2 linked regions of the Daphnia pulex genome follow. The protein of the gene in region 1 binds, or shares a complex with, the protein of each later gene. Links are inferred from orthologs where the notes say so. Each region holds a gene or a part of one and is shown on either strand. Other genes may lie near its edges.

The links.
Region 2: the proteins of regulator of MON1-CCZ1 complex-like (region 1) and protein SAND-like are in contact, whole or in part, in a cryo-EM structure (PDB 8JBE), measured with the Drosophila melanogaster proteins. The link is inferred for Daphnia pulex from reciprocal best matches to the Drosophila melanogaster genes Bulli and Mon1. Residues at the interface, in NP_648047.2 of Drosophila melanogaster: Ile561, Arg565, Lys568, Asp590, Leu592, His595, Ser596, Arg599, Phe600, Met603, Phe631, Pro632; in NP_608868.1 of Drosophila melanogaster: Pro416, Glu417, Arg419, His438, Pro439, Glu445, Arg448, Met473, Lys474, Glu475, Arg476, Glu494, Pro495, Val496.

Annotation. Positions count from the first base shown.
Region 1 is NC_060018.1:4,527,492-4,531,528, forward strand, and holds regulator of MON1-CCZ1 complex-like, read right to left. Parts: upstream 2,805-4,037; 5' UTR 2,598-2,804; coding exon 1,524-2,597; intron 1,458-1,523; coding exon 867-1,457; intron 796-866; coding exon 656-795; intron 587-655; coding exon 408-586; intron 343-407; coding exon 272-342; 3' UTR 157-271; downstream 1-156. UniProt on the Drosophila melanogaster protein: Positive regulator of the Rab7 guanyl-nucleotide exchange activity of the Mon1-Ccz1 complex, possibly by enhancing its endosomal membrane association.
Region 2 is NC_060026.1:14,676,656-14,680,633, reverse strand, and holds the start of protein SAND-like, read right to left. Parts: upstream 2,811-3,978; 5' UTR 2,785-2,810; coding exon of another isoform or gene 2,735-2,784; 5' UTR 2,675-2,734; exon of another isoform or gene 2,653-2,674; intron 2,598-2,652; exon of another isoform or gene 2,584-2,597; 5' UTR 2,404-2,583; coding exon 2,020-2,403; intron 1,960-2,019; coding exon 1,823-1,959; intron 1,760-1,822; coding exon 1,562-1,759; intron 1,506-1,561; coding exon 1,411-1,505; intron 1,346-1,410; coding exon 1,197-1,345; intron 1,128-1,196; coding exon 949-1,127; intron 875-948; coding exon 754-874; intron 671-753; coding exon 386-670; intron 305-385; coding exon 218-304; intron 151-217; coding exon 97-150; 3' UTR 1-96. Other genes in the region: LIM and senescent cell antigen-like-containing domain protein 1, read left to right, coding at 3,222-3,511, 3,592-3,696, 3,758-3,870, 3,937-3,978. UniProt on the Drosophila melanogaster protein: Part of the Mon1-Ccz1 guanyl-nucleotide exchange factor complex specific for Rab7 that promotes the exchange of GDP to GTP, converting Rab7 from an inactive GDP-bound form into an active GTP-bound form.

The DNA.
Region 1 (4,037 bases):
ACCTTCTCTTTACATGTTAAGTATGAGCGAGAGAACAAAAGGAATAATTTGATTTAACGTACTTGTTTTGGAGTGCAATAGATTCTCCTTAAAACATACTAAAAATCCTTTTGCCATCGCCGCCGAGTCCCTCGCAACTATGGAACTCAAAATCTATATATATATATATATATGTATAATCACATGAAAGAATGAGACGTGAAAAATACAACTAGTCTTTGCTATCAGTTTCGTCCTATGGGCTCCGTCACGTGTTTTATTTTTTCCTTTGCTATCCCATTGATAGCGAATCGGTTAGACTAGTACTGCAATCACCATCGCCGAAAAGTAACTTAAAATGACCTATAAAAAGAAAAATAACTTTAAAAAAATACTTGTAGTACACTAAACTAATGATTTCGACTTACGGATATACACTTCGCAGTGTTCTCCTTTCAAAAATGCTAAACTTCCACGAACGCGCCGGTTGCGTTGTTGAAAGTACTGGTAGACACCATAAAAAACGGAGGGATCCTGAGAGTTTTGAGCCGCTTCGAGAAATTTGCGAGCTGATATGCTTTCAACCGGAATTGTATCCCGAGCGAACCTGTTGCAGATGAATGTTCATTAATGGACTTGAGGGCAAAACAACTCTTTATGTGGCTGCCAAAAGTACCTTAATGCCGACAGGACTTTGTTCTTGGACAGCAGGATTTCTACAATTTCTTCATTGGCATTTGAAATCCGCTTAAGCATGTCGACTGCGAGCTGATACGCCGCTGGATATACACTTTCTAACGAAAGCAGGAGGCACGCCTGAAGTGAAACGTATATAATAAGCGTATTTCCGCGGTTATATTATGACAGTCAATTTTGCGTATTTATACCAAAGGTTTCGAATCAGCTACTGCGTGGTACTGGAAGAGCTGGTGAAGCTGGTAGAACTGTCCCAAACGTGCAAAAGCTTCGATGAGTACTTCATAAATAAAGTGCTGTACTGGAATGTGATATTGGACGAGGGATCGAATGTACTCGTTGACGACAGCCACAATAAAACGGTCATGCGTCTCATCCATTGGCTTGCTTTCCGTCATGGGTGACAAGATACGAGAGTAGACATCAGTCTGGTCAATAACCACATTGGGTCGTCGTGAAGAAGATCCGGTACTCAACTGAAACGCACCAGCTGGCATGGCGATCTGACTCTGAATCTCAATGTCCAAATGGTTACGGTATGCTTCGTTGAGTTTATCGAATACTCGGCCAAGGACAGGCACATCGGCTCCCACTGAATGAGAATAGCACATTAATCGACTCAAGAGTGCCATCACAGTCGATTTGGATTCCGTTCTCTGCAGGAGGAAGTCAAACAATTCACAAGGATTGTCAACCATATCAATCAAAGGAGTTAGGACTAGTTCCAGACTCCAAAGGCATCCTAATAGAGCGTCGATAATGATGTTGGATTGAAAAAATACCTGTTTTTAATAAAGCAAACGAATAAACATTAAACGTACATATATTTACAGCACAAATGAATTTACCCAGTTTGGAGAATATAGCTCACAACTCATCTGAGAAGGTTCGTGGTTCAGCATAGCGGCTGAAGCGGGGATGTTGAGGAAGTATGGGCGAATAGTAACGGATGCTAGGAACGGATGCAACGTCATCACTCGACCGTCTGATTCACCCGTCAAGTTTATGTCAAAAATGGATGACGTCTTAGAGGCTTGATGGTGGACAATAATCAAGTTGTCCAAGATGCTTACAGCTAGTTTGCCACTGGTTTCCAATTGAAGTACGTGAGTTTTCCGGGGAGGGGCGTCTTTGCACAAAGTGTAAACGACAATTTCCGAATTTCCTGATGCTGGGGTCTCTCGTCCGACCGTAGAATTTGGTTTAATTGGATGCTTAAGGACGAGTACTACCATTTGATTGTAAAGCATGGTTGGTGTGACGTCTCTCTCGACTAGGCAAAGACGTGCAGGTTGTGGAGGATTTGGAATGTCGACTTCAAATTTGGTAAGACGTAGAAGCTGATGGTTTTTGAAGAGATAGGGCTGAAGACTAGTACCAAGTGGGCCAGATGATACCAATAAAAGTCCAGACAGGGGACAATATACAAACCAGTTGCTTTGAATACTGTGGTTTTTCACAGCTCTCAGGCATCTTTTTTCAGGCACAACTTGATAGTGCTCTATTCCCTGATTAGTTATCAGAATAAAGTCTGTGTTTGAAACCCAAACAAATCCAACAATAACAGTTGAACTTCCTCTACAGGGTTGAGAGTATTCTACACCATCAGGCACTTGATTTGAAAAATTTTGAAATTCAACTGATTTTGAAGTTCTCTGAATTGCTAAGATCTGTTGATCAGGTGAGAATTTAATAGAAAGTACTGCTCCTTTATCTTCAACTCGGAAATTTATAGGATTTTTCATCCTTGGGCCTTTGACGTTTACTCCTGTTGCTCCCCCGGATCGAACTGTGAAGACCTGGCGAGTCACTTCATCGTAGAAAACATTTGTGATTTTTGTAACAGGTTCAAAGTGAATTGCAGTTTGACTTAATTGGAGTAAAAAACTCGCTTCGGTAGTTTCGATTGTGGTGCGAGACATTTTTCTTCTTTCACTTTCTGATATACCTCGTGGATTTGAAGAAAATGTTTGAACAAATAACTGGGCCTTAAATATCACAACATATAAAATCCGGCTATCGAATGATTAACTTTTTCTACTGCGAATTCATCTACAATTTCTCCCCACCAACTTTCGATTTCACGATAAAAATCACAACACGATTATGTCGTCTGCTAGGCTATTATGAAGTCAGTCCCCCCTCGTTGTGCAAGTTTGCATAATTTCATTTATCTTTAAAAAATAATATAATTTAAATAATAATTATTAAATTAATTTAAAAATAAATGTGTGTAGCTCATAATTGATAGCTATACAAAACAAATCTCACATTCAATATTATTCATTATTTTTAAATATTTGTAAACAAAGCGCCAATACTTGATTTCGAGCGTCTGCCAGCCTTCACAGTTTTGGCAAAATTTTTACAAAAACAATGTTCTTAAAAAAAGACAAGACCCTTCCAGGTTCGCCCTCGGGTATTAACGGGCAAGATATCAGTTAAAAGCTTTTGCTTATATTTTCAAAAATTAAAATGTAGGAATTTCGTAAGATTTTGTTTATTGTAATTTCCTGGATTTTTTTTCTGTATCATTTACGAAATAAAATAATAAACAATGTAAATTCTTGAGTTAAACTCAGACAGTGGTCCAATTTCTCCATCACAAGGGCTGAGGTAAAAAGGCAACAGTTCAGGGTACAACATCGAGGCAACAGTTCAGGTTACAAGATCGAAGCCATATTTTAGGAAAAAAGTTTGAGGCAAGGCAACAATTCAGGGAAACAGATGGAGGCAACAATTCGCGAAAAGATGGAGGCAATTAGCTGCAGTCGATGTTTAAGGACGTCAAGTAATTAAGATCTTCAGACAGTCAGTAAAAAAGGATTTGTTTACTGATTGTCTTTAAGCCACTCCCTCAGCTCCCTTTCATCAGGTATATCCGGGTTGATCTAAAGAGAATACACAAGAAAAAAAAATCCCGATGAAAAAAACTGCTGGAGAAATATTATTGAGTTTAAACTTACCATGATTACCGAATCATCGAAGGAGTCTAGGAATATTTCTCCACTATCGCGTGCGAATGCAGAAACCTTAACACCTCCAAATGCAACAATGGCGTTATCCAGGCTACTGAGCTGAAATAGCTTTAGCTTTGCGACTGAGTGCAGTACCCACGGCTGAAAAGTTCTTGTCCCTGCGAAAATAAATAACTTTAAAACTGTCGGAATCAAAATTTGTCTGATTCAAAATTTCACCTCAAATCAGCGTAAAGCTCTTCGGCCGAGTTTAGAACAACAGATTTAACAGAGCTACCATCAGAGCGAGGTGACTGGCCCGCATGTGATGAGGCTTGAAAATTTTCTCCTGGAAGCTTGACTGTATCTAAATAACAATGAAACCACAAAATGCAAGTAAAATAA
Region 2 (3,978 bases), on another chromosome or scaffold:
TATTAACACAACCATAACAGATAAATCTGGAAGTCTAAATATATCATGATGCATGAAAAACGAAGGTGAATGTAAAGGAAGGCTGCATTCGGTACTTTACCAACTTCCTGAAGTAGTGATGAAGTGGATTTCTTCTTCACGCTTACTCCACTAAAGGGGAACATAATAACAATCAACCTATAAATGTGGATTCAGTACATCGGAGCCATTCAATTACCTTAAGTATAGCATTGGCCGCGTTCATTATTGCCGCTTTTGTCGTCATCGGCTCTACGACCATATATAGTTCATAAGTAGGAGTAACCTGATAAGATATTGAAGATAAATCATATTATTAGTAAGTAAATCTAAAAAAGGTGAGCCATTTTATTTTGAAACAACTTACCAAGCCAAAAAGTATCTCTTTTTCAGCAGTGTGACACATCATTTTCAATGGGCGTGATGGAGAATGCATGCGACCGTGAACATGTCGGTAGAGATCCATTAAATAGAGCTGCCCTTGTTCATGTTGATAAGGCGGACCATTATTAGAATAAGTGTACTGAGCAGACAATCTTGACTTGTACACAAAATGTCGGATATCCGAACAGCCCACTTGACTAAGGATAGGGCAGATCGAATGTAAAGCCAGAGTGATCGATTCGAGAATGTTATTGTGGCGTCGTAGTCTCTGGACAAAGGAACCAAAATATCGATTAGATTAAGCAGCCAAGAAACTGAAAAAAAAAAAAAAAAAAAAAAAAAAAAATTTACATCGACGATATTCTTTTTGGCATCGGAAAGACTGAAAAAAGAATCACGATCGGTAGTAAAAAAGAGCAGGCACGCTTGACAATCTTCACTCAGGTATGACGCATGAACGTACAAAAACGCTCTAATTCGAGAAAATAAAAAATTAACAAATAAAAATGTCTGATTTTGCAGTTTTGTAATGGATAAGGGCCAGACCTCGGATCGTAATGTGGAAGGCATATGGGGGTCCAACCTTCAGCCGTTTTAAATGTTTCGGATGAGTTTACTAGATTGATGATTAGATGTACATCAGAGGGATGAAGCAGGTGCTTTTTGTTAACACGCACCAAACTGATCAACTGATTGTTACCAATCAACACAGTGAAGACTAAGCCCTGTAAAAACGGAAAGAAAATGTTTAGTCACCCGAGACGTGAGCATTTGAATTCTAACTGTAAAGACACCTTAATTTTGCTACATTGTTGATGGATAGTTTGCGTGACCGCATCTCGGTCACAAGAAGGCATCGGTAGGCATTTGACTGCACCAAGTAGAACGGAAAAATCGGTGTCCATGTAGTTGACCAAATTATCCATGAGTCGTTCGGAACCAGCTAAAAAAACAAATAATTATATAAAGGAAAGATTTTAACTCGATTACTAAGAAGTCAAGGCATACCTAAAAGCCTCCGAAGATCGTAATTTCGCCTCTGCTCAAAGATTTTTTCAAGGTGTGCTCGAGTAATAACGCTAGAGATTTGATTGAAGATATACCTAAAAAGGCAGCAATTTAGATTTGAAACTAACTAAAAAATTTATAATTGCATTACTCTAATTGCAGCTGTAACTGAAGTACACTATCTCGTAATTTCGAAACAGCTACCAAAATAAGAGGTGTTTTGTGTAGAAAAACAAATTTGGTATCACCAGCCAAAATCATATCCATGGAGTCTTCCCCATCTTCCACAAATGAAACAAGTGCCTGCATCACTCCAAATAAGGTAACAAGCTGCTCCTCATTTCCATGTCTGTAATTTAAAAAGGAAAACAATTAATTATAAAAAATGACAAATAGCTAATTCAAACCCAACCTTGTGTAGATGGGTTTTCCTGCTTCACTCAAGACAAAGAAATGTTTCTTTTGATTTTTCCACAGCAAGGAGTCTGATCCACTCTCTTCATCACCAGCAGCAGCTGGCAGGGAATTTTCTTCCAAGATTGATGAAGCCTGATTCATTAATGCTTTTTAACAAATCTTGAGGGGAGATTATTACTCAGTAAATCTCACATTGGTTGTACGTGATATGGAATCCTCATTTTGATTGCTGAAAGACTCTCGTTCTAAGTAGACCCTGGGCCGTACAAATTGTTGGTCTTGGTTATTGGAGACAAGATCTGATTCAAAAATCAAATCAGGTTGAGCTTCAACGGCAATTTCTAATAATCCGACATCACCGTTCTGAAAACCATCAGTACAACCGGGGTCTGCAGGAGGTTGTATGTTTAAGCTCACATCATTGGAATCACTATTTGTTCTGGTACCGCTTAAATTATTTAGACTTTCATATGGATCACTGCTGTCAAGAATTCCATGACTGGAGCTAGTAGCTGCATCAAAATTGTTAACCGAATTCGAAACAATAATTTCGCAATCTACTACTTCTGAAGCCATGTTTACTATCAAAATTATGCTTCTTACATCACCTGGCGGCGTGTTTTGAAGGGGCGTGTACAGAGGGCGGCGTTTAATGTCAGATGTCACAATAAAATGGGTTGAAGTTCCGATAATTGAAAAACGTCACAAATGCAGAGAAAATTAATTTTACAAAGGTAATGGTGTGCTTTTTATATACTGATATCGAAAAGACAACAATTAATTAATCGAGTTCGTTGAATGACCACCAGATGGCTCTACAAGTCAATCAAAACATTATAATACGGACCGGATGCAGTAAATCGTGGATTTAGAAGATGCGGTAAAATGATAAAGAAAAAGAAGGGAAATGTCTAAAACAACGATTTCGAAATTCGTCGGGGCTCAATCCGAATTAAGGTAAATTTTAAAAAATGCGAGAACCAAATGTTAATTTTTTTACAAGGAATTTTATCAATTTTAGCACATAGTATTTTTGCGTTTCTCTTAGCTTTTTTCCCGCATTTTAGTCCCTTTCACTTTTTTCACAAAATTATCTCCTTATTTGGGCTGATCTCTGAACGGGCGCGGTTTGTGTTGGTGTTAGCACCCGATTTCGTCCACAGGTCTCTACAATCTGTTGAAGTTCTTATAGTTATTGAGTTTATTTTATCGTTGTGTTCATTTCAAATGCCGCCTGGGTAAGCTATTGATAAGATAAATACTATTACTGATATTAATAAGCTCTTGAAGTGGCCACACATGAGATAACACATTTAGTTATCAATTGCCGTTCTTCACCCCATAAATTGCTGGACATTTCGGTTGTGTTCACTGAAGAAACTCCATTTTTCACCATGGCAAAAAGACCTAACATTCTTGTTCTTAAACCCTTTGAAAATAGTAACCTTTACCTTAGAAGAATGGAGGATAAGATGAAACCAAGTGCAAGTGCAAGTGAAGTAAATGAACTTGAGGGTTTGCTTGAAGACCTTACATCTAATGATGTTCCGAAGGGAATTCAAAATCAACCACTTCCTCAGATACCTAGCTTGAATTCAGTTCAAACTTACATTTTAAAAAATACTTATGCTAACAGCCCTCCTAAACTTCCTTCTAGAAACCTTAAACCTAGTAATATTGATAGGTATTGTGGTTTAACAGTTAGTATAGTAGATTTCACACATTCTGAATTTCAAGAAACTAATAATGGTTTGAACTTTAAAGCGATATGTACAAGAACACCCAATGTGTGAGGTGTGATTATGGTTTTGAGCCTCATGAAAAGATTGTCAATACAAATGGAGAGCTGTGGCATCCCCAGTGCTTTGTGTAAGTACTCACACCAACATTTTTACTTGAAATTGAATTCTAATTTCTTAATCTTTCACAGGTGCGCTCAATGCTTTCGCTCCTTTCCAGAAGGAATTTTTTACGAGTTTGAGGGTCGCAAGTATTGTGAGCATGATTTTCAGATGCTCTTTGCTCCTTGTTGCGGTCGCTGTGGTAAGCGTTAAATCGATTGACTAATTCATAGATTTTTAAATAATAACGCATTTTTTGTATTCTTAGGTGAATTTATCATCGGTCGTGTTATTAAAGCAATGAATGCCA